2 linked regions of the Neurospora crassa OR74A genome follow. The protein of the gene in region 1 purifies or fractionates together with the protein of each later gene. This does not show direct contact. Links are inferred from orthologs where the notes say so. Each region holds a gene or a part of one and is shown in the gene's direction. Other genes may lie near its edges.

The links. The genes of interacting proteins can lie anywhere in the genome.
Region 2: the proteins of NCU01601 (region 1) and prd-6 purify together in Saccharomyces cerevisiae (affinity purification with mass spectrometry; 3 studies listed by BioGRID, with this or other methods). This does not show direct contact. The link is inferred for Neurospora crassa OR74A from reciprocal best matches to the Saccharomyces cerevisiae genes LSM1 and NAM7.

What each region holds. Positions count from the first base shown.
Region 1 is NC_026502.1:2,978,407-2,987,886, reverse strand, and holds NCU01601 (hypothetical protein), read left to right. Parts: upstream 1-5,069; 5' UTR 5,070-5,333; coding exon 5,334-5,511; intron 5,512-5,585; coding exon 5,586-5,654; intron 5,655-5,779; coding exon 5,780-6,099; 3' UTR 6,100-6,403; downstream 6,404-9,480. Other genes in the region: NCU01598 (methyltransferase), read left to right, coding at 571-1,656; NCU01599 (hypothetical protein), read right to left, coding at 2,417-3,706, 3,778-4,200; mob-1 (protein kinase regulator), read left to right, coding at 8,414-8,436, 8,665-8,831, 8,898-8,991, 9,221-9,386. UniProt on the Saccharomyces cerevisiae protein: Component of the cytoplasmic LSM1-LSM7 complex which is involved in mRNA degradation by activating the decapping step.
Region 2 is NC_026505.1:5,327,555-5,337,983, reverse strand, and holds the start of prd-6 (ATP-dependent helicase NAM7), read left to right. Parts: upstream 1-5,163; 5' UTR 5,164-5,683; intron 5,684-5,889; 5' UTR 5,890-5,918; coding exon 5,919-9,200; 3' UTR 9,201-10,429. Other genes in the region: syn-2 (syntaxin 2), read right to left, coding at 1-255, 314-841, 956-1,084; NCU04243 (U3 small nucleolar ribonucleoprotein IMP4), read right to left, coding at 3,724-4,146, 4,210-4,668, 4,737-4,742. UniProt on the Saccharomyces cerevisiae protein: RNA-dependent helicase required for nonsense-mediated decay (NMD) of aberrant mRNAs containing premature stop codons and modulates the expression level of normal mRNAs. Also capable of unwinding double-stranded DNA and translocating on single-stranded DNA.

The sequences.
Region 1 (9,480 bases):
ACATTTTGGAATCTTTTACAATTCTTCAACCATCATCAACACTGGATTGAATAGGCCTTGAACAATGGGGTTCTGCAAAAAAACGACTGAGAGCATCATGTCGCCATGTCTCAAAACAATGCTGACATTCGCAGCGGGAACAAATCCCGAGGAGAACAACCCCATATTACACTAGAGGGCAACTGGAACAAAAACAACTCCATCCTTTACACCGTCCCAACCCGGATTACTAATTCCGAACCTATCCCATCCGAGATCTGAACGACACCACTATATCCGCAGTGGCACTGCAGGGGATGACCTGTCAACTTGTTAATTCCAGTGCCGAACATGGGCGCGCCCTTCGCATGGCGTGATCGTCCTAACGAATGGCTTCAATTTCACCGTTCCCAGCGTTGAAGCAAGCGCACGTGTAAGTCCAACCTCGTGACGGAAAAACATCTCGACACTGGGATGCGCTGGTGTACAGCATCTTGTTGAATAACTATAATCCACTTAGCGCTTTGAAATCCTAATCAATGTTACTAATGTCAGTGAGGTTTTCTGGTTTTTATCACCGGTGTGATGTGAATGGAAGAAAATGTATATGTGAAGGAAGATATAAATCCGTTCACATCCACCACCCCATCACCGTTGTTTGAAAGACATTCAACAACAGCACTATCAACACCAAAGCAGCCGTATTATACTTGCTCAAGACACCTCCCACTACCCTATCCACAACCAAAGTTCCACCTTCCCATCCTATACCATCACACAATGACCATCACCACCTCAGAAGACCGCGTCCCCCGCGGTGACGTTGTCGCCCCCCTGAACTTCTACGAGCCCCCTTCGGACGGCTCAAGTCCCTTTAACAACATCGACCCGGCCCCCGGCGTTCCCGAGCGTAACTACTCTACCCAAACCCTCCCCGTCACCATCCACGACATCCGCGGCCTCGAGTCCTCCTTCACACTCGATAACGACGCCTTCCAAATTCTCCAGGGCCTCCCTCCCTCCGCCGAAGAAGACCCTGCAAAGAACGGCTCCAACTTCACCTCCGACGCCTCCATCTCCCAACTCTACTACCCCGAAGTCACCCGCCTCCTTCTGGACACCATCCCCGGTTCCAACAAAGTCATCATCTTCGACCACACCATCCGCCGCACCTCCCCCTCTGCGCCCCGTGGCCCAGTGCAGCGCGTACACATTGACCAAACCGCCTACTCCGTCGCGCAACGTGTGCGCCGACACGCTCCCTCTCCGGAGGAAGCCGAGCGGTTGTTGCAAGGGAGGTACCGCATCGTCAACGTATGGCGGCCGCTGAACAAAGGGCCCGTGGAAAGCTACCCGCTGGCGTTTGCCAGTTCACAGACGGTAGACGACAAAGATATAGTGCCCGTGGAGCATCGGTATAAGAATGGCTATACCGGTCAGACGGCCGCGGTGCTGCATGATGAAGGGCAAAAGTGGTACTTTTTGAGCGGCATGACGGGCGACGAAAGGATTCTGTTGGAGTGCTTTGATAGTTGGGCAGGCAGAGAGGACCTGGAGGAGGGGAGGAAGGTGAAAGGGGGAAGGGTGCCGCATACGGCTTTTGAGGATCCGAGACAGAGAGCGGATGCTGAGGGACGGGAGAGCATTGAGGTGAGGGCCCTGGTTTTTGGACCTTGACTTAGTGCATGTTCTCTTATGGTGGACACAGGAGGCGGGTTGGAGTATTCTCTAAGTGAATGAGAATAAGTAATGGTTTGATAGAGTTTAATGGCAGTTTTGAGGGATCGGATGCTGATAGGTGTTTGAACTCCTATGTCCGCGAACAATTTTTCTATATCGTGTTTGCGCCTTCATCGAGCTAGTAATAGTCACCAAAAAGTTAGTCAATGACTGTGAGTCTTGCTCAACGAAATCAGCTAATGAACTTCCGGCAACACCTCATGTGGTTGTCGATATTGATTTGGAATGGATAACATAAGCACAAAGCAAAGCGAAGCCTAGTAAACTCCCAAAATACGAGCGAGATGCCAAACAGTATGCGGTATAACCACGGTAATCAACGAACCAAATACGATGATACGTAATACCTATGGTAATGCTACAACTGCAGGCATGAAAGTGTTCAATGCTCAAGTAGCACCTGTAATAAAGTCCAGCCATGTTTCCTTAAACTCCGTAACCCCTTCAATGTATGCGCAACCCTCGATCCAGTATCTCAACAAACGCCTCTCTGTCCCTCTTTCCCTTCCTGTGCGCGATGGAGGCAAAACAGGCACCATCGTAAAGGAGCAAACATTCAGTGTAATATGTGAAGCACCTTGTGCCAGGCGGCGCTGGGCACTCTCTTTCGTCGTTGCAAACCGTTTACCACCGACCAATGCCCGAAGCTCTCGTCGTCAAAATCCGTTTCTTAATCATGTCTAGGCCGCCGTCCTGTTCAGCCACCGCGGCCGCCGCGTCCCTTTCTGCTGCTGGTCCGGCTCATCGCCACGCCGCCGTTGGCGCTAGACTGTCTGCTCATAGAGACACCCCCAAGCGCCTTAGCAGGAGACTGGTGATGAGACGGAGTACCCGAGCGGCCGCCCTTTGACGGGGTGCCGATACCGAGACCATTGATTGGCTCAGATCTTTCGGGCTCGACAGGCTCCTTGATCGGGGGAAGACCAAGGCGCTGCCTGAGTTCGTTCTCCGACGGCCGCTCGCCCTGGACAAATGACACAAATCTGCGGTCCTTGACCGGGAGCGACACCGATTGGAGAAGCTTCATGCTTCCATGCTCAGTCTGTAGATTGGCGCCCATGCCGTTAAGCTGGTCGTACTGCTTCAGGGCATGCATAACCATCAAGTCCCCGGTCACGTCGTCATTAGCCAGTGCTGCCGGTGTGTTAAACTCAGACTGCTTTGCATGGCCCTTGACGTATTGTGACGGGAAGGCAGGAGGCTGCTTAGGGTCCTGACTGCTAGTCAAACGCTCAAGGTTACCGGGGAAGTCGAAGTTAGCGAGCATCTCCAAGCCCATGAGTTTGTCGTCAAAGTTGGGATTGTTAGCCCCACTTTTGTTGCTGCGAGTAGCGTGCGAAACGTTCCTCTCCATCATCGGCGCCGACGGAGCCGACTCCGAGTCGAGATCATCAGGGTCGCCGCTACCGGAAACACTACCCTCGGGTGACGAGATAGGGCGCCCATAGTCGTCAAACCGTGGCTTATGGGTAAGAATGTATTTGTGCGCAGCCAAGGCCGACTGGTTGTAGGTCATTGACAATTCCTTGTCCGTGAACAGCTTGTCAATGCTGTAGATGGGGCCGGTGGTCTTGCGTTGGACCAGACGGTCGGTCTGCCATAGGGGTGTAGTGCTGTTGGGGTCGAGTGCACGGCGCTGTGGCGCTGGAGAACCGTCGTCATCATTCATGTTGCGCTTTCTTTTCTTGCTGTCCATGCCGTTCATCTCCTCCATTTCTCTCCGCAGGCGGGTGGCCCGCTTGCCGTGTGTGCCTCCGGGGCTGGCTGGGTTTGTGATGCTGAATTGGTTGGGGTGTAAGAGGAGTGCGGACGCATCGGCAATCTCGAGGGCCTCCTTCTCCTTGTTGAGCCGGTATTTTTTCGAAGTGATGATGTTGATCAGTCGGTCGCGGAGGGTCGAGGCAAGCGCCTTGTGTTCTCTGTTCGCAAGCTCCGTCTTATAGGCATGCGTATTGAGGTATTCGGCGATCTTCTTCTCGTAGTCAAACTGCGGAACCAAGAGTCAGCATTGGCACTTTGACTGGCGGAGCGTTGAACGGTTATGATCGGGAGACGTACTTTAAATTTGGTGAGAGCATAATCGCGTTGCTCTGCAAGATCCTGTACGTTCTCCATCCACTTGGCAAATTTGGGGCCAGCCATGTCAAGGAGGGATCGTGGACCACCGTCGGAGTCGGCGCCATTGAGCTGGTTGAGTCGTCTCTGATCCTCTTCGAAGCTGTCCAAAGGTCGATCGACATAGGGGTCGACTCGCATGACCAGACTGGTGTCAATCTGAATCTTTTGTAGTTGTTCGCGAAAGGCCTGGTCTCTGTCCTTGCTCCATTTGTCGGAAAGGGTTGCAATGCGTTCGGCAAGCATTTGGCGTCGCTTGTCTCTCTTAGACTGTGACTGTGACTGACCGGGAGGAGGAGAAGCGTTGGAGCGGCGATCAGGCCGCCCGGAAGGTGCGTCGGCCATGGTAACGTCGGTAGAAGCCATGGCGAAAGGGGGGTCCTCGTAAATATGTTTCTTGGTTGCCTGCTTTTTTATTGTATCCGGACCAGGTAAGACCAGGCGAGGCAAACCTCAAGGCGAGGCTGGTGGGCGGAAAAAAGAGAGCCCCAGTGCAGAGATTTGAGGCTAGAGGACGAGTAAGTCAAAGTCGACTGGACGACGGGAAGAGAGCTGCCCTCGTCCGCCGATGGACGGGCGCGCAGAATGGTTACAGCGCAAGGGCGAGAGAAAAGGAACGGCTTCTGGTGGTCGAAGCGGGTTTGGACATAGTCCTCATGGGATCTTTTGTGTATAATTGTCGACAGCGAGGGTACGTATGGTGCAGATGGAGAAATATGGAGTGGCAGAATGAAATGGGGTTGACAGCAGGTTGAGCCGAAGCAGAAGGACCGGAGAATGCAGTGCGGCACTACCTAGGTAGGTACAGGCAAACCAGCACAGGGAGGTCAGTGCAGGTCCCGTCGGCTCATTGTCCGGCCACCGGGTTGAATAATACTGTAGGTTGCTGCACAGCGCTTGGTTTCACCTTGCCCTGGCAGTGTTTACTGACTAGACATACAGTCCGGTGATCATGGAAGCTCCACCGCACAGGCGCTGTACCTAAGCGAGAGCAGTCTGCCGCAGGAAGCAGCGATAGGTTTGTATGAGCCGAGCTGATTGCTGAAGTGGATAAAGCTGAGATTCGCTCCGTCTTGTGGCTCAACCTGCGATGTGGCTGACTTGTATCATGTACATATACGCAAATTGCCTGCCGGAAGGAAGCTGGAATCATCCACTAAAAGCTTATGGCAGGAGCCGTGTAAGTAGAGTGGTAAAAAGATCTGTGCGACTCGGGCTGTCCTTCAAGGAACACACTTCTCGTCGCTGCCTCTCACCGTGAAAGTGGGGTGAACTGCACAAACAGCGGAGCAAGCCCAGGGCAGCCCAGGGCAGCAGCTATGTACTAAGGTAGGTATGTACGCAGTAGGTAGGTAGTAGTATGTGCGGGCAGGCAACGTCAGGGCGGGCAGCTGTCCCATCGCATCATTGCATCCCGCTTCCCATTCAACAACCTTGAAGACACCCCCCGAAACTTTACAGATGGACTAGAAGACATAGGCCATCTTCAGCACACAACCATGGAACACCTCTCGATAAACGATCAACCCCCACCGCCGCCCTTCCCTCAGGGCCCCGGCCAGCCTGGACCCGGCATGCCCCCGCCGGGACTCCTAGGAGGCGGCCGTCCTCCCCAGCCCCAGCAGTTGCCCGCGCAAATGTTCACCACAGCTGCCCAACTCCTCGACCTGACCGATAGTAAGAAGCAATATTGTGGACATATCTTTTGGACGGGAGGAACTAGGCTGACACGAGCGGCGGGGTACCAACAGAGAAGCTAATGGTAGCATTGCGCGACGGACGAAAGCTCACGGGCATCCTCCGCAGTTGGGATCAGTTTGGTATGCCTCCATGAACCTACCTCTCTCTTACAACACATGACCACCTATACACGCACGCACGAACGAGCACGAGTATGAAGAGGTAGCTGTGTTAACGCGAATCCACTTTTTTCCCACCATACTAGCCAACCTAGTACTACAACAGACAAAGGAGAGGATATTCGTGCCTCCAGGCACGCAGTCACCCACCCAGACCAGGGGGCTCTACGCCGACGTCGACCGGGGCCTCTTCGTTGTTCGCGGCGAGAACGTTCTCCTCATGGGCGAGATCGACCTTGACCGCGACGACGACCCGCCCCCGGGCTACGACCCTGCCGACCTCGAACTGGTGCAGACACTAGCCAAGCAGAAAAAGGCCGAGGAGAAGGCCAAGGAGAAGCGCAAGATCAAGAAGCTTTCCACCATTGGCTTCGAAGGGGAGAACGTAGGCGAGGCGCTTCTGTGAATGATATATGAATCACCCTCAAATTTTACAAATGGGACGGAAAGAAAGAGACGGGAGGAGAGACGACCAAAACTTTAACTTGTTATGATTTATACCTACATACCCCTGAAGTGGAAAGGGAGTGTCGAAGGAGGGAATGGCATGAGCGATTGGAAGCAGAATATTGTGAAATGCTATCCACTCAGCTGCGACTTCATACGAATGGAAGACCGCATGAAGCCTTACACCAAGGTCGGCCCAAGAAGACACCAAGTGTATTTTACCGTTAGAAAATTAGCAATTCGATGGATTGCCTCGAATCGAACCTGGCCACTACTGACTATGATCATGTTGGGAAAGGATAGCCCAGAGAGATATCCACGACTAACATTCTTTCCTAGGACTAGTCACATAGCCGGCACAAACCCATCGACTTCAACATCCTCCCACCCACCCGCCATCATCGATAACTACGCCGAGCTCGGGAAATGAGGCGTTGGCACTCATGACCAACCAACCGATTACCCAGCATCATCAAACTGAAAGATGATATGCAGCAAGTACTCAACCACCTGCTGCGGGGGTTGCGTTCCACATGCCAACAAAGGGGGGGTTGAACTTGTTTCGGTCGGAATAGGGAAATCCAATGTACCTCACGTTGATCCACTGAGGGTTCTGTATAAGCCGCTGGGAGATGTCGTTGTGGGCTGGGTTGGGCTGGCTGTAGGCCATCACTAGGTCTTTCGTAAGTCCACCACTATAAATCTGTGAAGTCGTCCATGAATGTATGGTTGGGCGTGGTGGGTAAACTGAAGTTGTACCAGCCCCATGTCGAGGGCGTGGCGTAGGGCTTGAAGGTCTGCAAACGCAAGAAAGAAGAAGGAGGGTAAGATGCCACAATTCCGGGTGCAAGCTCACTTGGGCTATCTCACGGTCATTGTCCTAGGCAAACCTTTATGATATACTTATCGGCGCAGTTTCAACTTGCTTGGGGCAAGTTACTTAATCTTGGCGGGCCCTTCTCCTCATCCTCATCTAATCGGGCACCACCCTAGGGCAAATCATGGATCGTCGACATGGTGAAGCCATTATTGGCCTGTCCACCCGATTGTCTGGGGGAAAGTGAGGGGAATAGCTGTCCGGGAGAAGGTAAAGTTGGACACATAAAAGACATTTAGCTATTTCTCATTGTCTCCGGTCGCCGTTGTCCCCAAGGTCGTTGATTGCGGGGTGCATTGGCGTCGTTGTGAACGAAGAAGCTCGGTGGGAGAACCTCGAGATGAATCTTCCACCATCCCGGTGCAACATGTGTTTTCAAACATGAACGATGGACCACCCAACGACAGCTGTACGGATAGTCCCGCACAAAGGAAGCCTCGGAGATGAACAGCCCCATGGGTAAGAGGAGTTGTTTGCCATGTGCGTGGCTGCTCTAGCGAGACCGGGAGTGCCGTCCACCCGCGATTCGAAACGTCCCATGCTCCACCGGATGGAGGCTGTGTGGAGATGTGTTTATGGAGAGAATCCATATCCAAACGGATCCTTTCAGCCGGTCCCATTGTCAAAAACCGCCGGCAACTGAACTCAAACAGGTATGGCAGTTTTCCGAAGCTCAAGGCATGCAACGGTCCTTGCGATGATCGATGGTAACAGTTCGCCGCGACTGTGGTTAGGGTCAGTATCTGCCCATTTTTTTTTATTCTTGGTGTATGTCTTTCGCACGTGTAAGGATGTTGCTATGGAAAGAAGCTTTGATACCTCGCTCGCTTTTGTCAATAAAAGTGAAATGTCACCTTATAAAGCAGTGAATGGAGCCGCGAATGGGAATGACCCCACTACCGACGAACCTTATGCGGGGACATGGCAGGCGCTAAGAGCTTCCCGGCTGCCCCTGCCCAGCCGCTGTGCCATCAAAGAGCCCGCTCATGATTCGCTGCGGCCAGCACGAACCTGGCTGTCGTTGTCTGGAGGTCTGGCGCATCCATCCGTCAAGGTAAACAATTAAAACATGCCCCGTTTCTTCCTCTCCCTTTAAATGTCCTCAACAAACACACTACCTCTGCTTCTACCCTTATACCAACACTCGGCCGGCTAAAATTTCAAGTTAGCGACATCTGGTCTTGATCTTCCGGCATCCGGTATCTGGCGCATTTGCTTGTATCGGTACGTGTCCGCCCTCCCACGGTCATGCGACAAGGACCATTCCTGTTGCCCAGCCCAATGTCACCCGCCAACAAATGACATACCAGCTGCGCCCGCCGCTAACTTGTGCAACCACTTGTCGCAGCTCACCAAACATCCTTCTGAACATATCCAACATTTCTTGGTTGTCGCCATGAGCTCCTTTCTTACGACCGTGTACGTTGAGCCCTCCCCCTTTTCCCGCCCTTGACAGGCCCATCGCGAATAGTTGGCGATGCGATGACGTAATTTGGCAACGAAGCGAGGACAAGCTCGCTCGCCGTCGCATCCATCTCCTTTCCAGGAGGTGCAACACACCGCATAACTGGAAGGTCTTTCGACCTCCTCAGTAAAGCCATGAATTCTATCTTGTGTGGGATAGCTGTTAACATGATTTGCCGCTAGAAATCAGCGGACGCGCAACCAGTTCCGACCTCGGGCGAGCGGCAAGGGCGGTGCGACCAGCTACCAGCTGCGACAATATGCCGAAGCAACACTTGGCGGAGGAAGTTTGCGCAAAGTGGTGAAGCTGCCTGAGGGTGAAGACGAGAATGAGTGGTTGGCTGTCAACAGTGAGCATCAACCCCGCCGACCCAGCTTGTTTTGCTCCAGGGCCATCCGCTGACCCGCTATGCTAGTGGTGGACTTCTACAATCAAATCAACCTCCTTTATGGCGCCATTACCGAGTTCTGCTCTCCCCAGACTTGCCCCGAAATGAAGGCGACCGACGAGTACGTTTCCATCACAACATCATACACCGCGACCAACACACTGACAGAGTTTAGGTTCGAGTACTTGTGGCAGGACACGGAGAACTACAAGCGACCGACCAAGATGCCTGCGCCCGCTTACATTGAACAGCTCATGAGCTGGGTCCAGGGCAACATCGACAACGAGGCCGTCCTACCAAGCAGGATTGGAGTTCCGTTCCCCAAGTCCTTCCCGGCGCTGGTCCGCCAGATCTTCAAGCGCATGTACCGCGTTTACGCTCACATTTACTGCCACCACTACCCCGTCATTCGGGAACTGGGCCTGGAGCCGCATCTCAACACCAGCTTCAAGCAATATGTGCTATTTATCGATGAGCACAACCTGGCAACCGGCAAGGATTTTTGGGGACCGCTAGGCGACTTGGTCGACAGCATGTTACGCAGCGACTAGACGACAGAATCTTGTATGGCTTTGGCATTGGCGCATGGTTATTTGACAGGGCTAAGCAC
Region 2 (10,429 bases), on another chromosome or scaffold:
CTTGCGGCGGTTGCGGGCGTGCTTGACGCCCTTGTCAACCTCCTGGATACCCTTGTCCATGTTGTCGTTGACCTGTTCCGTCTTTTGGACCACGTCGGCGATGACCTCGCCCTGCTGCACGATGAGCGTGTTAAGGTACTCGAAAAGTTGGGCGAGCTCTTGCATCGATTGCTCGACGCGGAGGAGTTCCTGGTGGCGGGCTTGTACGTTGCCGAGGACGGCCTTGGCGGCGCCGACGCGGTTAGATTGTAGAAGCTATTGGGCAGGAATTAGCAAGCGTGAAAGTAAGAAATTCAAGTGGAGAACAACATACAGCACTCTGGAAGATCTGATCCTGCTGCATGTCGCCGTTGCGCACAGCATCCTGTTCCTGGGGCGTCGCATCGGGGTTGACAATCAAGAGCTGACGAACGGCCTGCTCGCCAATCTGGCCCTTGTGGCGGCGCTCCTCCACAAGGTAGGCCTGAATAGCATCCTTGTACAGATCCCTGAGGCGCTCGGCCTGGCGCTTCTTGGTGTTGAAGGTACCGTCGCCGGTCCGGGTGGCATCAGAGACAAGGTTGTCGACTTCGGTCTTGATCTGTGACTTGAGCTGCTCGGTCACGGCCTGCAGCTGCTCGAGGCCGGGGGGCGGGCGGCCGCTGGTGTCGGAGAGGGACTGTTGGTGAAGAGTGCGAATCTGGTCGAGGTTTGCGCGGAACTGTTGGATGTGGCCTTCGACATCGCGGACACTGTTCAAGAATTCTTGCTGGGATAGAGGAGCGCCGGTGGCCGTGGTATCAGGGCCGTGGGGTTGACGTTGTTGCTGGCCATATGTCTGCATCTCGTGTGATTCGGGCTGCTGCAAGGGAGTAGGTTAGTTAATTGCATTGCGACTCGATATCATCGGATTGAATGAGTCGAGAGATGCGATGAAGAGGTTCGTCAAAGGACCATATGGAGGGAGCTTGCTCACTTGACCGTAGCCGTTGTTGTCGTAACCTCCACCATAGTTGCCGCCATAGCTGCCGCCATAACCGCCCTCGGCCGAAGGACCGTCGTTGTAAGGGCTAGGCTGACCGTAGGGATTTTGATTATAAGACATGGTTGCTACTGTTTGGATAATTTCTGAGATGAAGCCGCTTGTGCTCGATTCAATTGCACGGACGTGGATGTGCCGGTGGAGTGGTTGGCGGTGGTTGTCGTTTTTCCAATGGTGACAATACTTAGGTTAAGAGGGGAGAAGCCAATAGATTAATGGATTAAGATAGGAATAACCTGGGTAGGTAGGTAGGTACGGATCGATGGAAGACCGGGGGCGCCGGGTGGTATCGATTGACTGCAGTGTTTTTGTTGTCGCAACTGAAAGTGGTCGACAACAAGGGAACCTCGGAAGGAAGGAGTGTTGTAAGGAACTGAAGTGAAGGTAAGAACAAGAGCCCAGCCAGCCTCACATGAACTGATGGATGGATGATGCCGCCCGCTGACCTAACTCGAGCGAAAAAGACCGTCGGACGTTTGAACAGGCTGCTTCCTTCTGCTCTGACCAGTCACCGAACGAACTGAATGCAAAAAGACGGAGAGGGCAGTGACCTGCAGCGACGGAGCGCTTCTCGTTTAAATTTGGGGGTGCAGCAGCGACGGAGTGTTCCAGGGGCGACCAATGGCCAATGGTTTGGGGCCAAGGAAGCGGGCTGTGGGCTGGCGATCTTCTAACGCCGGGCAAGTTTTTGGGATTTTGGGATTTTGGCGGTGCGGCCGTGAGCTGTTAACGCAGTACGGCTTAGTCGTCCCAAGACGGATTAGTTTCAGGGCACTTTTCGTTAGCAAGGTACCGAGGCCGGACGGAGCGAATGACCCGCAAAATCCTTCTTCTCGTGTTTTTCTTGCTCTTGTTTCTTACAAGGTTCGTTCCGTGTTCTTGATTCTATGTGTCGGAGCGAAAATGTTCAGAAAAGTTGGCTTCGGATATGAATGGTACCAGTGATAAAAGATATATATTATTCGTCCAATCTATTGTACACCTCAAGCAATGCGATGAAATCAGAGACGTCCTTCACATTGCAGGACACAAACCCTGAACGGCGTTGATCGAGGGAAGGCCTAGAATTATATGTACCGAAGCTCCAGAGAGGAGAAGGGCTGAACAGGGCGGTGGCTGAGAGAGAGGCTGAAAGGTGTTTGCAGATGAGTTTGCACTATATTCCAAGCTTCTTCACATCATTCCACGGAGCTGTCTTGAACCGTGGCCATGGATGATCCATATCCCTGTCTCTCTGTTGATGATGAATGCTGAGCCAGACTCCGACTCAAAACCACAATGGGAAAAGAGTCTCGGTCACAGCGGGTTTCCGACCCACGTCTCCAGTTGTTGCTGTGCCCAAGGTCAGCTGCATCCTGCACGGAATGCAGCATCAAGGCACAAGCTTCAAGAGCTGACGACTTCAGACTGCTGAGAGGTTGTTTGTTATTGTCAAAAGATGGGAAGGAAGAGGGCACCGCAAAGTACAGCTTTAACAGCCGCATGAACTCGGAGTGTTAAACGTGGTAAAATCTCCGCTGTCAAGAACCCCGACTTATCGTCGCATTCACCACGTGGACGGGAGGATGGCAAACTTTGATCGCCTAATTCTCCAATGGCAGAGGAATGGACAAGCTACAAATCTTTCTGTTGCCGCCCTGTGACGATATCGTCAATTGTGAACCGGCAATTGGCACTTGCGCTGTCCCCAGAGTTGGAAGTGAGGAACCAATCGCCGGTGTGGAACCTTCAAAAGAGCGTGCAGGCGGCCCCACGGAACACCGTCTCCACGTCGACGCGCCCCCTTTTGTTTGGAATGGAGCCCCAAGGAGAAAAGGGGTCCTTTTCCTTCCCACTGGTAGAAAGCTTGGCAGATCATATTTCGAGTTCATCGACCAATTGCTTTATGTTTCTGATCTGATCTCATTGAGTTGCACACTTCAGCCAAGTCCCCGCCTTGCTGCTGAGCCGCTCAAACAGCCTTTCTTTCTTTACATGCCAGCACTCAGTCCCAAATGGAAGCACCCGTTCGACCACATGTTTTGTTTATTCCGCGCTCAGCTGAGAAATGATATACCTTTACACCCTCAACTCCGGTCCGTTTCCTGATATGTGAACCCAATGCTCTTAAAATTACATCCAAATCCCAACATTGGTATCTCATGAGACTGCTGCTCCCTTTTTTGTCCCATCCTCCAGCCCCATCGTTGCGTGCGTTACCTCCAGTGTGACATGTCGTTGATAGACATGACATGCTCGTTTCACCGCGGGAACCTTCCGATCCTCACAGCCACTCGGCAAGCAGCCGACCCAGCAACCACGCCCATCACCAGTCAGACGTTGATGCGATCATCTCTGGTTCCACTAGAGTGCCGAAGCTGGAACACAGTACTCGCTATCTTGGCCAGCCACGTACTACCTCGGGCGGTAGAGGAGAATATAAGCGAGAATTCGGCTAGGCATCTGAGCGGTCTTCCCATTGCCTCCTGCTACTGAGCAGCAGACAAATTGGTGAAAAGGGCTTTCCGCCACCAGATCGTGTCTTTGCGTTTCCCCTGGCTATCCTTTTTTCAGGTTTGTCCGGCGCAATCATCAGGTCCAGTGCTTGACGTTCGTGGCCCAGCAGCAACTTGTCTCGGAAGCCATGCTCACTTGCTGTGACATCCCACCCAATCCAACCGATAATAACACGACTATAGCGGCCCTTTTGTTCCAATCACCGCTTAAAAGTAGTTCTTTTTCCTGCTGGTCCTGGTGTACTGGCTGAGGTGCCATTCGGTATCCGCATCCTTGTTGTCGAGGGTGCCCATGGTGATCTTGAAGGGCTTCATCGTAAACCGGGGTCCAACCTCACTGAGCTCGACCGAGTCGTACGAGGTGCGGACATAGACGTGGTGCCTGACCTCAATCGTATCGTCGTTGTTGACAAATGTTATGACTCTGTTGCCGACGTTGGGTTTCTGTGTCGGCTCGCGGGGAGGGAAGAGGTGCTTGAGGATCTTGACCACTCGCTCACCGAGTTTGGTGCTGAAGCCCTCGAAAATTAGCCTGGGGTAGCTTTCGCTGACTGTGCCCTTTATCGACTTGGGAATATCGGCGCGGAGAACGACGTTGTGGAGGGAGACCATGAGCGTCGGGCCATGGGGCTATAGCAAGGATTAGAAAATGCGTTTTGCAAGTACAACAACATGCCTGGAGGGACAACGTACGAAATGGGAAATGGTCATGGCGGTAGGGACACCACGGTGCTCGTGTAGCAAAACAACATCCGTCAAGTTTTGCGCCTTGGCGGCGCCAACAAGGTCTTCCAAAACGAGGTTACCACGGTTCAGCCGAACACTGGTGGGTAGTAGGAGACGGATTTCCTTGCTGAACTGGCCGAGTCTGCTGGAGGGATCGCGACTTGTCGTAACCAAGATTCTGGGGTCAATGACACCCGACAACTCCGAGTATTCGTCGTCGATATCGATGGCGTCTCCGTTCACATCCCTCGAAACATCGTAGTCGAAGTCCTTTCGCAATTCCTTGTCCTTCGCAATCTCGGGGTCGAGTGGCTTGCCCGAGGCCAGGGCAGACCTCAGCTTGGCGCGCTTCTCTGCAACCTCGGCCTCCTTGAGCAGGAGGGCTCTTCGGTAAAGGTAGTCCCGCCTTTGGCGAGCTTGCTTTCTCTATTGCAGATGTTAGTCATGGACATTGAGAAACTTGGAGAAGATGACGAGTAGACAGGGACACTTACAATCATCTTGTTGTGTTGACACGCTTATCAGACGGTAATAAGTGATTCGGTGGAAGGGATCGCGCCGAGCTCTCAGAGTCGTGTTGTCGAAAGTGGTAGTAATGAGGTTGTCGATAAGAATTAAGGCTGCGAAGACTGGCAGAAATTCAGATGTTCCGGGTCGATACTAGTGGAGGGCGGAGTGGTTGGTGACGACAGGGGTGTTCACAGAGAAAAAAGTCGAAAAAAGTTACAATCGAATGGGACTAAGCGCGAGGTGCACGGATCTTTTCAGCTTGGCGGATACCTATTGGCTTAGGTCCCGTCGATTTGCGCCTGCCGGGAAAGAGATCGCGCCTGGGTCGCCCGGTTCAACGCCACCTTAGGTACCCTGGCTCCCTTCGCTGCAGCTTGTGCCGGTTTCCCAGTACCTACCTACCTACTTGCTGCCCGCTTTCTAGAATACAGGGCAGTTTCAGGCGCTATGACTGCCCGTGCTTCTCAAACAGCTGAGCCCAGAACTGGAGGCTGCTGATAGAAGGCCGTCGGATATCAAACAAGGGAACGACGAACCTCCAACCTGAACCGCAACCGTGACCCGTCCGCCAACACAAACTGAACGGAAGTCGGCCACCGGCAAAATTCCCCCAAGCAAACAACAACCGTGACCTTGAACGGCGGCAACCAAACCATTTGCTTCACAACACCAAGAACAACCTTAAGCGAGCCGATCAGTGGTCTCACTCTGCATCAGCACCTCGACGTTCTGGCAGTGTCGTCGTTTCGAAAGCCCCCGCGCGCAACACAGCCCGCTCGCCGATCCAATCCGTTATGCGATGATGTGACCTTTTAGACGACGTCCAAGCCCATAATCTACATCTTTCCATAGTCCCGCATTGCGACAACCCGCAATACGACAGCCACACCTTTTACCTTTCGACAAAACTTCCGGGTGTGAACTCTTCAAGGTACGCCGCTTGTTTGCGTGTCATGTTCATGTAAACACTGAAATACACATCCCTCCCCAACAGCCCGCTCAACAGCTACAGGCTGGACCGCGGCGTATACCAACAGTACCTTACTTATCTCGTTCCCCAACGATACCTGCCTGACCCTACGTTACTGTTGCGAATTTCCCTCCCAGACACTTACTGACCAGCTGCTGGTGCTCCAGAGTTTACCTCCGTCAACCCACTCGCCATCATGGCCAACATGGAGGTGTCCTTCACACACCTTGGAAACCACTTGGTTTCCGACTCTGCTGCTGCCATCAAGGCCGGTGGCTCCGACGAACTGTCCAATATCGATCCCGATGAGAACCTCCTCTACGGTGTCTACGGTGGACGTGGTCCCCGCGGCAATGGTAGACGCCGCCACGATGACGACGACAACGAGACCGAGGTCCTTGATGACGATGATGACGAGAGTTTGGCCAGCGTTCCAGTCGACGGCATGAAGAGCCTCAAGCTGGATGCCCCCGTGGAGGAGAAGGAACTGCCTCCCCACGCCTGTGCCTACTGTGGCATCCACTCGCCCTCTAGCGTCGTCAAGTGCCTTACCTGTAACAAGTGGTTCTGCAGCGCCAAAGGAAGCGCCTTCTCGTCCCATATCGTCAACCACCTTGTTCGCGCCCGTCACAAGGAAGTTCAACTTCACCCCGAGTCCTCCCTCGGCGATACCGTCCTCGAATGTTACAACTGCGGCACCAAGAATGTCTTCATCCTCGGTTTCATCCCTGCCAAGTCAGACACGGTTGTGGTCCTCCTCTGCCGCCAGCCGTGTGGTGCTAGTACGTCGACCAAGGATATGAGCTGGGATATATCCAGGTGGCAACCCTTGATCGAAGACAGGGCTTTCCTCAACTGGCTCGTCACCCCTCCCACGGATGCTGAGCAGCTTCGTGCTCGCCATCTCACGCCGCCCATGATTGCCAAGCTCGAGGAAATGTGGAAGGAGGCACCGAACGCGACTGTTGCCGACCTCGAAAAGACTGCCGGAGTCGATGATGATCCTCACCCGGTCTTGCTCAAGTACGACGACCCTTATCATTATCAGAACATCTTCGGCCCTCTCGTCAAGATGGAATCCGACTACGACAAAAAGCTGAAGGAGGCCCAGTCTGAGGATGGCCTTCAAGTCCGCTGGCATCTGGGTCTCAATAGTAAACACGTCGCCAGCTTCATCCTTCCCAAGATCGAGTCCGGTGACGTTAAGCTGGCCGTTGGCGATGAGATGCGTCTCAAGTACAAGGGAGAGCTGCGCCCGCCTTGGGAGGGTGTTGGATATGTTATCAAGATTCCCAACAACCAGTCCGACGAGGTTGAGGTGGAACTTCGCAAGTCAGCCAATGACAAGTCTGTCCCCACGGAATGCACACACAATTTCTCGGCCGACTATGTGTGGAAAGCGACTTCCTATGACCGCATGCAGCTGGCCATGAAGACCTTTGCCGTCGACGAGATGAGTGTTTCTGGTTACATCTTCCACAAGCTGCTGGGACACGAAGTCCAGGTTGCCCCGACAAAGATTACGATGCCCAAGAAGTTCCACGTTCCCGGTCTCCCTGAGCTCAATGCCAGCCAAATTGCCGCCATCAAGCAGGTCTTGTCCAACCCTCTGAGCCTTATCCAGGGTCCTCCGGGAACTGGCAAGACCGTCACTTCGGCCACCATCATCTACCATCTTGCCAAGATGAGCAACAGCCAAGTTCTTGTTTGCGCCCCATCCAACGTTGCTGTGGACCAGCTCTGTGAGAGGATCCACAGAACCGGCCTGAAGGTCGTTCGCTTGACCGCCAAGTCCCGTGAGGATGTCGAGTCCTCCGTCAGTTTCCTGGCTCTCCACGAGCAAGTTCGCATGAATACTACCAACAAGGAACTTGATGGTCTCGTCAAGCTCAAGACCGAGACCGGCGAGCTGTCTTCTCAGGATGAAAAGAGGTTCAAGCAGCTGACGCGCCAGGCCGAGCGTGAGATCCTGCAAAACGCTGATGTAGTGTGCTGCACCTGTGTTGGTGCCGGAGATCCGCGACTTTCCAAGATGAAGTTCCGCAATGTGCTCATCGACGAGTCTACACAGTCTGCCGAACCCGAGTGCATGATTCCACTGGTCCTTGGATGTAAGCAGGTTGTCCTGGTTGGTGACCACAAGCAGCTTGGCCCTGTCATTATGAACAAGAAGGCCGCCAAGGCTGGCCTTAACCAGTCGCTCTTCGAGAGGTTGGTCAAGCTTCAGTTTACCCCCATTCGCTTGAAGGTCCAGTATCGTATGCATCCTTGCCTCTCTGAGTTCCCCTCCAATATGTTTTACGAAGGATCGTTGCAAAACGGCGTCACTGCCGCCGAGAGACTTCGCAAGGATGTTGATTTTCCCTGGCCGGTCCCTGAGACTCCCATGATGTTCTGGTCCAACTTGGGCAACGAGGAAATATCGGCCTCGGGCACATCGTACCTCAACCGGACTGAGGCTGCCAATGTCGAGAAGATTGTCACACGCTTCTTCAAGGCTGGTGTCAAGCCTGCTGACATCGGTGTCATTACGCCGTACGAGGGTCAGCGCAGCTACATTGTCAATACCATGCAGAACACTGGCACGTTCAAGAAGGAATCCTACAGGGAAGTTGAAGTCGCTTCCGTTGATGCCTTCCAGGGTCGAGAGAAGGATTTCATTGTGCTGTCCTGCGTTCGCTCCAACGAGAACCAAGGCATCGGTTTCCTTTCGGATCCCCGTCGTCTCAATGTCGCCCTCACCCGTGCCAAGTACGGTCTGGTGATTATTGGTAACCCCAAGGTTCTCTGCAAGCATGAGCTCTGGCACCACCTTCTCGTCCACTTCAAAGACAAGAAGTGTCTCGTCGAAGGTCCCCTCACAAACCTCCAGCCTTCCCTCTTGCAGTTTGGCAGACCTCGCCAGGCCTACCGGCCGCAACGCAGCCACACTCAACATGTTGCCAGCGGTCCCTCTAATGGCCGGTTCGCTGCTCCCTTGACTGCCGGCTCCGTCAGGGATTATGAGACTGGTTCTATGGTCTCGTACATCCCGGATGATGTCTCCTCCATCCACAGCTCCGCCCTGGGAGGTGCTGCTTTGAGCTCTGGTTACCCTGCCATGTTCTCGAACTTCCACCCTGAGGCGTGGGCTGGTTTGCCGTGTGCTGGTCCCAACGGACGCCCAGGCGCCAAGGGCCGTGGTCGTGCGACAGAGAGCATCGCAGGCGAGAGCGTCGCCAACAGCGAGTTCACTGATGCCACTTCCAGTGTCATCGGCGGCAAGGGTATCGGACAGGGCGGCGCGAGTCTCGGTGCTGGCCTTAGCGAGGCCATCGGATCAGCCCGCCCTACTTCTTACAGCCAGAGCGATCGCCTTAAGCAGTATGTCGAAAGCAATGGTCGTATGGGAGTCGGCAACGGATACCGCCGTTACGATGACGACGAGAAGAGCGTCAGCACTGCTTTTGCCAGTCAGATCGGGACAGGTTTCGATTGAGCCATTAGATCCTAGGCGTTGTTGGTCTCCCTCTTCCTCTCGTGGAAGCGCACGACACAATGCTTATAGTTCTCTTGAACCTAAACGGCGGTATAGCATATGGACCTATTATGTGTCACTTGGTGAGCACGACAGACTTATTCTGTTGACACGCTACCGATAGCCTTCGGGCTGGCGGGCAGAAGACAACTTACCCTTCTCCAGCTTGGATTCGCCCAACTGAAGCTGCAAGGAGTTGTTGCTGCTCTCTGAAAGCCAATCCTTCACATAGGCTTCTTCAAGGTGTGGATGATCAGCCTACATACCCTCTGCGCAATAGTCTCGTGCAAGCTGAACCCCAAGCATACGGGAACAAGGCATCTTCACACACCTTCGTCTAAGGTTGCACATCAAATCAGACGTGCATACGGACTCAAGCAACGGACGGGTATCCAAGGAGGGTTTTGTCATCGTTCGGATGTACGGAGCCGGATGAGGTCGACCCACACTTGGTATTGGGGGAAAAACGTTGGGTTAGCTGGCGGTCGAATTTGCATGGTTGCGGAAGCGCCTGGTCAAATGCGATCTACCCAGGAAGAAGTCACCACTCGATCTGTTGCTTCCGGGCAGGTGGAGAGTTGGATATCTTCTTTCGTGGTAGAATGATGACCGAATGAAACGGCAAAGCCTGCAAGTCAATCAACGCAGAGAGTGGTTGGTTTACACCGATACGCTCACTCCATCCAGTCTTAAGCTTTCACGTACCACCAGCCAGCCTGAGTTAGTCTTTTTTCACTTCGTTTTCAAGCGTGCTTCACTGGGACTCACTCGTCCAGGCTCACTCGTCCAGGCTCACTCAATCCCATACCCTCCTTAAAAGAGAAGTTGTCGGTTGATAAGCCTGGACAAATCCAGTGAGCACTGCGTTTGATAGTTAGTTGATATTCGTCCCTCTGGACTTCCTAACCAAAGTCACTCATTATTTTATGACCAGAGATGGGGTAGAGATAGTTTTCAAACAGAAAAGAGAGATGGGAGGAGTCTCAACATGGACAAGAAAGGAAAAACAAGAAAATCAAAAAAAAAGAAAGGCAAGAGAAAAAGAAAGAAACAGCGTTGGAAATTATCAGATAGAGAGAGGGTAACGCAAGAGGAGTAGGTGTGAACGGTCATAGCTATTCACATATACTTACACTGGGAATCTGGAAACGTATCATGGGTACCTACCTACTTATTCAGATAGCTTATTT